2 linked regions of the Daphnia pulex genome follow. The protein of the gene in region 1 binds, or shares a complex with, the protein of each later gene. Links are inferred from orthologs where the notes say so. Each region holds a gene or a part of one and is shown on either strand. Other genes may lie near its edges.

The links. Proteins that work in one complex are often made in the same cells at the same time.
Region 2: DNA replication complex GINS protein PSF3-like (region 1) and DNA replication licensing factor MCM4-like share a complex: the UniProt entries of both Homo sapiens proteins name them as parts of the CMG helicase complex. The link is inferred for Daphnia pulex from reciprocal best matches to the Homo sapiens genes GINS3 and MCM4.

Annotation. Positions count from the first base shown.
Region 1 is NC_060022.1:871,786-876,400, reverse strand, and holds DNA replication complex GINS protein PSF3-like, read right to left. Parts: upstream 2,582-4,615; 5' UTR 2,559-2,581; coding exon 2,450-2,558; intron 2,345-2,449; coding exon 2,206-2,344; intron 2,139-2,205; coding exon 2,009-2,138; intron 1,946-2,008; coding exon 1,805-1,945; intron 1,737-1,804; coding exon 1,647-1,736; 3' UTR 1,379-1,646; downstream 1-1,378. Other genes in the region: hepatocyte nuclear factor 4-gamma-like, read left to right, coding at 17-187, 253-382, 447-566, 641-877, 962-1,299; serine/threonine-protein phosphatase 4 regulatory subunit 1-like, read right to left, coding at 4,525-4,615. UniProt on the Homo sapiens protein: Required for correct functioning of the GINS complex, a complex that plays an essential role in the initiation of DNA replication, and progression of DNA replication forks.
Region 2 is NC_060020.1:7,894,228-7,899,850, forward strand, and holds DNA replication licensing factor MCM4-like, read right to left. Parts: upstream 3,590-5,623; 5' UTR 3,443-3,589; coding exon 3,376-3,442; intron 3,307-3,375; coding exon 3,214-3,306; intron 3,149-3,213; coding exon 2,985-3,148; intron 2,931-2,984; coding exon 2,733-2,930; intron 2,672-2,732; coding exon 2,437-2,671; intron 2,377-2,436; coding exon 2,134-2,376; intron 2,051-2,133; coding exon 1,819-2,050; intron 1,753-1,818; coding exon 1,293-1,752; intron 1,234-1,292; coding exon 1,073-1,233; intron 1,009-1,072; coding exon 891-1,008; intron 829-890; coding exon 587-828; intron 524-586; coding exon 313-523; intron 312-312; exon of another isoform or gene 254-311; coding exon 155-253; 3' UTR 21-154; downstream 1-20. Other genes in the region: uncharacterized protein LOC124192073, read left to right, coding at 4,432-5,604. UniProt on the Homo sapiens protein: Acts as a component of the MCM2-7 complex (MCM complex) which is the replicative helicase essential for 'once per cell cycle' DNA replication initiation and elongation in eukaryotic cells.

The DNA of each region.
Region 1 (4,615 bases):
ACTCTTTCCTTTCTAGTGTGAAAATTTGTATTTAAATCAGCTCTCAGCCGTCAACGATTACGATTTGAACAGCAAACGGATGGCTACCATCAACGACGTTTGCGAATCAATGAAACAGCAGTTGCTCTTCTTGGTCGAATGGGCCAAATACATCCCCGTTTTCAGCGAATTGCCACTGGATGATCAGGTAGACACATTTTAAAAAAAATTTCGTTTTTAGCCAATTTGATGATGTCGAATTCGAATTTCAAGGTGGCGTTATTGAGGGCCCACGCGGCAGAAAACCTCGTTTTGGGAGTTGCTCGAAGATCTATGCATTTAAGAGACATTCTTCTACTGGGCAACGATTCCATCATGCCCAGACAATCGGCTGGACTTGGAGGTTAACACTAGCTGCCTTATTGCCAAAAGATGTTGTTAATGATTCCTATTTGGCAAACATGCAGAGATCGAGATTTACCATATTGGCATTCGAATAATGGACGAGATTGTGAAACCTCTACGAGATATTCAAATGGATGATACGGAGTACACCTGCCTCAAGGCCATCGTCTTCTTCGATCCTAGTAATAAAAAAACGTCGATTGCCAACTTACTATTTGAATCTTGAGTCTGACGTGAGCCTTTGGGATGGCACCAGATGCAAAAGGTCTGGGAGAGCCGGCCAGGGTAAAAGGGATTCGCTACCAGATTCAACAGTTGCTGGAAGACTACGTGGCCGATCGACAGTACGCAAGTCGAGGTCGGTTCGGCGAGTTGCTGCTGGCCTTGCCGCCACTCCAGTCAGTTGCTTGGCAAATGATTGAGCAGATCCAGCAAGCCAGATACTTTGGAGTGACCCGCATCGATTCTCTGCTACAGGAAATGCTTCTAGGAGGTATTAATAGAATTTGAAAAAAAAAAACAGTTATTTGAATTGGTTAACGATCGATTAAACACACAATCTTACCAACATTTGAAGGAGCTTCACTTGAATCGGTTGGTAATGCAAACAATTCTGCCCCTTCGTCCGGGTACAATCCGCCCGTTGTGGTCCCATCTGCACTGACCGCAATGGCTCCACTTTCAGCAGATTCGTCTCCCACACACTCAACGGGTCCATCTCTTACAACTCTTCCTCTCCTGAATGGGCAAAACGGATTAGGTGGGCATCAGTCCATGATGATGGACCGTGGACCACCGCTGACCATGTCTCCAGACTCTGAGGATGACGCCTTTCCCTTGGGAGGATTGTCCAATCACCACCACCAGCCTTTCAAACAAGAGGTGACGGAAGGAATGGACAATGCGTACACATAGATACTTGACCGTTCCCGAATTTTACAAAAAGAAAGAAAAATGATAAAAAAAGAGAAAAAAAGGGTTTTGTTTTGTTAAGTTAAAGTTTTAAGAGATAATCTATTCGATTTGAGAATTGCGCGGCAAATATTTTCCAAAGATGAGTAGCACAATTACTATAACAGGGACTCAACATATCCATCGTGTTGCTACCATCAGGGGTTTTTTTTCCATTCAAATGTGCGTCATTTCTATTAAAAACAAACGAGTTAATTGCTTCTGATTGACTGTGTCGAACTTCATAGTTGCTCAATATAATTGTTAATTAGATAGGGGCCAAATACATCTGACAAACTGGTAATTGAATCTTAAACAGTCACTTCTGCAAATTTTCTCTTTCTGTGACTGGCTACTAGAGTAGCTGTGTTGATCTTGCTGGATTCTCTTCGGACCCATTCCTATTGAAGCAAAAGTGATTACAAAAACAATAGAGAAATGATGCATCAAAATCTATATTAATGAATACCTTGTAGCTTCTGTAACTCAACTGACCCACTCCAAACAACTTTCTTTCTAATTCATCCAAGTTTGCAATTATGTGTACTGTTTCGTGGTGTGTGGAATGTTGAGACATGTCCATAATTTGTCTCAAACGGTTACGAAGGGTCTGCACACAAAAATTTGTAGTAGTTAGAGAAAGTTATATGCAAACAGAATTTGGGTAATCAACCTCAACCAGGCTCCTCTTGATATCAAGAGAATCCTTTAATTCAAGATTTGCCACATGAAGTCCCAGATCATAGAAATAGGGTCCCCATTTGTGGAGGTCAACAACTATACTGTCTGCCTGGAGGATCTGTCTATAGAATTTGGAAGTGAAATTGGATTTAATCCAGAAAACGAAACTTTGTCAAGATATTTAACTACCTGTAATTGACTTTGTAGTGCCTTGGAATTTCAAGTGTTACAATTTTTTTGGCATGAAGGGTGGGTACCATCCAGAACGGCAATTCTACTTTGCTTCCTTGTTTGAGGTTTTCATCGTCAGCCGACTGATCAAGCATACCTGAATTGGAAGAAAAGGAGATATAACTTTGTAATCAGCTTAATTACATGATTAACTATTTAAAAACCAATAAACTTAAAATCTAATAAACAAGCTATTGTTTACCTAACTTGGGAACAGCCACTTCGAATTTGCAAGACACCCTGACATCTTGAAGCACAATGTCTTCTATAGAAAAATAGTTTGGACTATAGCTAAAATGCAAGTGAGGCATTATAAAAGTCGTCAAGAGTTGATTACAAGTCAAAATTAGAATGAAAAGAAAATTGTAAAGACAAGATTAGAATTCAATGTTGTTTGATCGTCACAACGAGATGTCAGCAGTCGTTTTCCCGCTCTGCACCGCGTTGCCACATCATCCACAGTCAACATTTTCTTTTTTCTTTTGGGAAGACGCCCAAAATGGTCGACTCTATGCCACAAATTGCTTGACGGTTTTGGTTAAAGTTATTTCCCCCGAAAAACCTCATCGTAAAAAAGGGTCTACGTGTGACGGCGAGCTGAGTCACGCGTTCAGCCGTTCACCTGGCTCGTAATTACTTGAGAGAAATGATGTATTTGCGAGTTATTGCGCCAAGGATTCCGAGACAGGTAATCTCTTGTCGAAAACTAGGAGCCGCCATATTTTCGAGCTTCGACTTGTCCAACAAACAGAAGCAGCTTGTGCTTGTGCTGTCTGTTAGCCGAGCCAAGTGATTGCGTCGTCGGAAGACAGAAATAAACCTGGAGCCCTTCCCTTGGGTTTCCTCCACCGCGCCAGCAGCAGCAGCAGCAGAGTCAACTCTGCTCGAATAGAAATATCGTCTCGAAAAGATATTTCGGCCAATCGTCGCTCCCTTGACGTGATTGGTACGCAGACACCCACTCTCGATTCGTTTCTTCTTCTCCGGAACTATTCCCGCTATTATCTCTATTCACTTTGATATTTAATTTACATAAACTCGCGAGTTCATTTTTCACACAATTTGGTGTGATTGAATGAATTCTATTAGCTATTCATTCCGTGATGGTGTCGGAGGTTTTTCTTTTTTTCTGACTTGCTTAATGGGCGTAAAACCGTGAGAAACCCCATGGAAAAGTTCTTTTTCAATTCAAGTACAACCGGAAGAAGCTATGGAATCGTCTTTCCGTTTAAAAAATAAATAAATGGAGAAAAAACCACAAAATTTGTCTCATGTTTTTTTACTTTTCCTTAAAAAAAAAAAATAACTTTTTTTTTCCCTTAAAGTCTGTCGTCATCAGTGCGCGTCTTGACGATCAGCTAAGGAAAATCTATTTTCAAAGCTGTTGGCTCTGTTTCTTTAAAAAAAAAGGGGCGAGGGGAGAGAGCAATGGTAAAAAAGAAAATGGTTGCAGCTTTTTTTATTTGATAAATATAGAACCGTTTCTCTTGTTACACGAGTAAACAACGAGCTCCCCCACCCACACAAGACGGGGGCCACTCCTTGTTTTTTAATCTTTTTCGACTCGCGTGTGTACCTCATTAAGATGTTTGCACTTTTGTTTTATCGATGGCTTCATTAAACCAAGCGAGCACATTTTTTCCATTATTTCGGGAGCCAAATGATATTGGGGCCAGAAGAAGAAGAAGAACGACAAGAACGCGGTTGCACGTAGGCAAAAATTATTTTGATGTATTTTTTTTTCCGTCTACCAATCAGGTTAGGTGGCGGTCACCACCACATCACAGTAAGGGCATAGCGGACAACAACTTGTACAACAATCCCTCCTCCCCCCATCTCTCTACACGATTTTTTACTTGCAAAAGAAAAAAGGAAAAACTTTTTTATTTTTTAAAAAAAGGAGGGAAACATGAATGAATTGATTTTTGTTTGAATTTCATTTGTTTTTAAATCGGGGCGTTCGTCTCCCGCACCAATTGCGTGATTTACTTACACAACACACAGGTAATCGTCTTGTTTGTACAAGGCACCACACAGCAACACTCATCCGCGCCAAGACTTTTTATAGGGGGGAACTCCCTTGTGTTAGTGGGGGGGCTGATTATTTAAAAAACGAAAGAGATCAAAGATGATAAGAGAAGAGGTGAGGAGGAAAAAAGGATGGAAGGGAGGAGTCGACAAGTTTTGTTTTTCGTTGTGTTGGCATCATGCAAAAAGAATCAAATGTGTGTGAATGTGTACAGTTTTTTTGTGTTTGTATTCTTTGAATTGGGGCTATCACGCAATGTTGTTGTCCTCCGTCGGAAGATCCAATGAATTGATTTGCGTCTGATTCCGTTTGACTGTGGCGTAGTACGAAACGTCACGA
Region 2 (5,623 bases), on another chromosome or scaffold:
AAACATACACTAATTTCTAGTAATTTTAATGCAAGACCATTTATTGGGGAAAAAAGCGTGTAGACACGAATAGTAAAATCATTGTTGCCTTCAATCTGGCACCTTCAGTGCATCGCCAGTTTAAATACTTAAAGCACGATAACTCGTCAAACTATTAATGACATATTCTGATGGAAGAACGGCCAGCAACGACTACAACTCCATCATCCTGCAAATCTTTCAACGCATCTTCGAACATGTCTCTGGTGATCATCTGTAAAAGAGCCACAAGCAATTATAATTATCCTTGAAATACACGCAAGCTTAACTTACCACAGCAGATCCTGCTTTGAATTCATTAAAGGCTTTTTGATAGTTTAATGAACTGGTTTTGCCTTTTGATTCTATCATCTTACGGAGTGCAGCAGCCACTTCTCCGCGTTTCTTCCGAGCCATTGAGCTTAACCCAGTTGTAAGAATGTTGACATCAATTTTGCCTGACATGGGGTCGGTGGCAGATTGCTTCAGCGCCTCACGATGTAAGCTTTATAGGGGGAAAACTAAGTTAAGTATTCTTCCATATGAAATACCATATATAAATTGTTACCGATAAGCCTCTTCGACATCATAAACTTCGACGACTTCTGAATAACGAACTTTAGCGTGAGCTTCCGAAAGACGAATAAGTGACTCCAGTTGTCGAGGGTATGCAGACACCTGACCACGACCGCTTCCAATTCGTCGCATTTCAACATAGGCCTCTACCAGACGAACGGTGGCTGCGTCATTCAACATCGGATTAACATGCTCTTTACCATAAGCCATATAATCGCGTAAGACATCGAGTTCCTAAAGGTTGCGTAAATTTAATAATAGATTTGATCGTAAATATCGAAGAAATGGCAACATACCATGAAATCCGTTTCATTTTCTTCAGCTACACTGTAATACAAAGAAACTAAATGACGAGCAAGGCGTTTGTCATAAAGTTCGTCTTGAGGATCCAACATCAAAAAAATCAAGTCGAACCTTGTTTTAACCAATAAAATTTTATGATGACAATGAAATGGTATATCCAGATGAATGGTACTACCTTGACAATAATGTATGAGGCAGTTCAATGTTCTCGATGATGGTTTTGTCTTTGTTCCACTGAGATTCGATTGGATTTGCTCCGGCCAAGATCGATGTACGAGCATTTAGCTGACAGATGATACCAGCTTTAGCAATGCTCAACGTTTGTTGTTCCATTACCTATACAAATATATATAAATTAACGCTGAATCCACTAATAACTAGAATGAACTTTATACTTCATGAAGAATGCTGCGAGTGGCGTCGGACATTTTATCGAATTCGTCAATGCAACAGATACCATTATCTGCCAGAACGAGAGCACCAGTTTGAAGGACAAGCTGCTTGGTTTCAGGGTCTTTTGTCACATACGCAGTGAGACCAACAGCCGAACTTCCTTTGCCAGAGGTATATTGTGATCGTGGGACCAAATTAAAGATGTACTGCAGCAACTGAGACTTGCTAGTACCAGGATCACCACAAAGAAGGATGTTTATTTCCGAGCGAAAACCTCCACGACCAACTTCCGTGAAATCTTTTTTGGTGCCACCGAAGAGTTGAAGGAGAATTCCTTTTTTGATATCTTCATTCTCGTAAATGGATGGAGCGATGGCTCGAGCCAAACGTTCATAAATATCTGGTTTCTTGGAAAGTTCGTGAAGTAATGCTTCGCGTTCAGCAGAAAAACGCGTTTCTTTCCTAAAATGAATTAAACAATAATTATCGATAAAAGATACATGTTACACAAAATATATAAATAAATACCCTCGTTCGGTTTGATTTCGAAGGCGATGGACATCGATTTTGCGATAATGTACAACGTCAATATGAGTACGATAAACAGATTTGACATTGCTTTGAATTGGGTTTACGCGCAACGAAACAGCACGATAAATTCCGGTCACGGTAACGCGATCGCCCGGCTGAACCTTGTCCACTAAGTCATTGTGAGCAAAGACAAACACGGTGTGAGGTGTCTGACCTGCTGGCATGTCATCTATTTAATCAATAAAATTTCCGTTAAATATTTTTAAAAAATTGAAAATATTGCAAAATAGTGATCAGCAAATCTATCTCTACCTGGTGACTCTTGAAGTTTAACCATCTGACGATCGGAAAATTGTGATCTATTGTGAATGATGGAAAAGGAATGCCCTGTGTTGCACATGGCACAAAGAGTTGGTTCCAAAATTCGTCCACGATCAACTTCAACAGAAGCCGTGTTGCTACATACATTGCAGCGAAAGAATGCTTCACGCATTTCAGGAATGATATTGCTCGTGCGAATAACCATACCACTAATAGTGATTAACTGATCAATATCTAAAAGGGTAAAAATATTATAGGTTTTTTTTCTTTCTTGAACCGGTAGAACAGAAATACCTTCAGGATTTAGAGCACGCATGTTCTTGGTTTTGTCGGCACAAAAGGGCCTGACTTGAATTTGATGAGGCAGGATGACATCTGGGTATTTCTCAAAAAACATTTCATTTACAGTCATATCTAACGTCGGGATAACCTCTTGTGGATAGCAGATCAATTGACGATAAAGGTCAGCGTCAAAGGCCTTCAAGTGTGAACAATTCAGATTCAAGAATGGATCTTCCAAATCAGCAATCTAAAAGAAAGATTTTATAATAATAAAGAAATATTTTGTGGGATTAGGAATCAGTTCTTACCTGTTGCAGTTCTTGAAGGTAGTAAGGTTCATTGACATTCATGTTTTCCCCTAAATCCTCTTCATCACTTTGCAAAAATTGGTTGATGAAGCGACAGAATTTAGTTTTACATTGAGACACAACCACATCAGTTCCCCAAATGACCAACTGTGGCCCTCCTGATTCTGCTTGCTCCTTGATTGGGGTCAAATTTCCCTGCTAAAATTTGGATTAGCACATTGAAACAATAAGAACTAGTTAAAAAAGTAATACTTCATTAGCTCCCAAATTGACTTGGCGGACTTTCCTATCAGAACGAACATCAGGACGTTGATGTAGAGGGGTCCCTCTTGCCCCAGAGCGAGGAGTTCTCAAAGATGAAATTGAACTTGGAGTTCCATAATTGAGAGGAGAGTTTAAATCCAATTCACTAATAGCTGGAAATAATACAGAACTGAAGATGACCCTGTTGCTATTTTAAAATACAAGTATATTCACATACCTCCTCCAGGACTCATTCCAATATCCATATCATTATCACCATGATGAGATGGAGTGGAAGGCAAAGGAGCAACATCAGAAATATCCGACATCGCTAGATTCAATGTGAAATGTTTGAAATCGAGGTTTCAATAATCATAAATTATTTAGGTAATTTTATTACCTCCTGCAGAACGACGTCGAGATCTTGAAGTACGGCTACTAGCATGACTTTTTGCTGGACTTGCCATTTTTCATCAAGGGTAAAATCTTATTCAAATTGAAGAAAGACAATAACACGACAATGATATTTGATACACGAATCTGAACTATCGGAACGATAACGGGTCTTGGGCAGTTGGGCTTGACCGCTTGAGACTTACAGAAAACAGAGAAAGGCTTCGCGGCAAAATGTTTGGAGGAGGAGGAGTCGTACCTAAATTGTTGCCAGGTAACATCGGTTACTTTAATTTTACTACAACACTTGATAGGAACGGATATAAAACACTTAATTATAATTTTTCATTTTAAAAAACAGAATTTATAAATTTTAACAACTTTTTAAATCAATAAATGATTAAAATAATACGATTGACATATTTGCCGCCAGGTGGGCCTAAACAACATGGAGTCCAAGGTCTCAGACGTCAAAACGCCCAGCGTGATTTGTATATAAATGAATTATAAAGTGCTTTGAAGCTAAATTGATTGCTCAAAAGGTATTTATGGTGTGAAATTTCATTGTGTTTGATTCAGTTCTAATTATCTGGAATCCTAGAGATCCTACGATTGCTCATGTCATCTACGTGGTTTGTGACCTGTGCGTGCATCAAAATTCTTACCCTGAGCTGTGAAAAGTAAGGATCAAATAGCCAAAGTTATCTCTAATACAATTTGAAACAAGTGATTCAAAGGAAATTGATACAAGTAGTCACAGCTGAAAAATGTTGTATTTTGAGTATTAACACAATGTAAAAGCATCCAACTGACAGCTGTAGTGCAGTGCTATTCCATTGTTTGGCTTGTCCAGTACTTGTTAACAGTTTTCTTAGTTTATGGTTTAAGCAATTTTGGTTTATTTTTATTAAGACTTTTGAAGTTTGCAGTAAAGATTTCATGTAGAGGTGATTAAATATGATATGTGAAGTTCATTCATAGTTTAAGAATCATAGTTAGTTACCAATAATATTTATTTTATTTTTTTCAGAATACCCTTCATTGGAGAACTCATTTGGCCATCATGACTCAAGAATTTCTACCTTTGTGTGATGTGTTGTTCAACATCATTTCGATGGCGTCGTATTTTTGCGACGTCGTTTTCGATGTCATCACTGCTTACACTTTATACCAACAGCAGCAATATGTTTGGCTATCCCTAGCTGTGTTCTTCATCACCTCGTCGTTGATCGTCAGTCAATTGCTTTCGGCCAAATGGTTTCTGGAACGACATTCCTCCTGCCAACCAGCAAACGACGACGATAATGACGAGAAAGATGTCAACAGAGGATCGCTAATAGCTATGCATTTAGCTGGAATAGGTGTCTTGTGGCGCTACTCTAAACTATTCATCCCGGTGGACTTGCGAATTGTGAAACATGAAGTGCGAGACCTATGCATGCTCCGGCTGGTTCACGCTTTCATCGAGGCCGCACCAATGTTGTTGGTGCAGTTGTATTTAATATGGCTCAAGCCACAGCGAGACGACGTCGAAGACTTGAACATAGTGTCCACAGTGCTGTCGTTGGTCAGTGTGTGCTGGGCATTGGCGTCCTTCAACAAGAACGTTCGACGACAGAACGTCCACAAACTCGTGCTGACCTGGCTTGGCGTCATCTTCCAGTTCCTATGGCGGTTAGGAACCGTAACATCTCGAGCGATTGCCTTGACGGTCTACGCCACTGTCTACGGTTACTGGGTTTTCCTGGTCATAGGTTTACATTGGCTGAGCATGTTCTTCTGGCTGATATCGCCACGCAACGTCTTCCACGGCGACAAGATGTCCAAGATCAAGAAAGACGCGTATTGCGCCTTGATTGCAGTCGTCTACATCTTTTGCTACGTTAATTTGCAGCACGTCAATCCTCGTATGAAAATGGCCGCCTTTTACGTCACCATGTTTTTGGAGAACACCCTTCTGGTGGCTGTGTGGCTCATTGGCGTTCATCGTGAGGAGCCCTGGTATCACGAGCTGGCCACCGTCACCATGTTCCTCTCATTCGTCGTTGGCGTCCTTTTCTTAGGCATTTATTATCGATATTTCCACGTGAAGCGGTTAAGTTACTCATCCGCATCGTCGTACCCGACCAACAACAATCCGCCCGAGCCCTATTCTTACGTTACGCCTTCCGGTACTTACGTTGATGACGGTACTTCAAATCCGAATGGCCCATCGAAGAACGGCAGCAGTAATCCGGTTAGTTGCTCACCCGTTT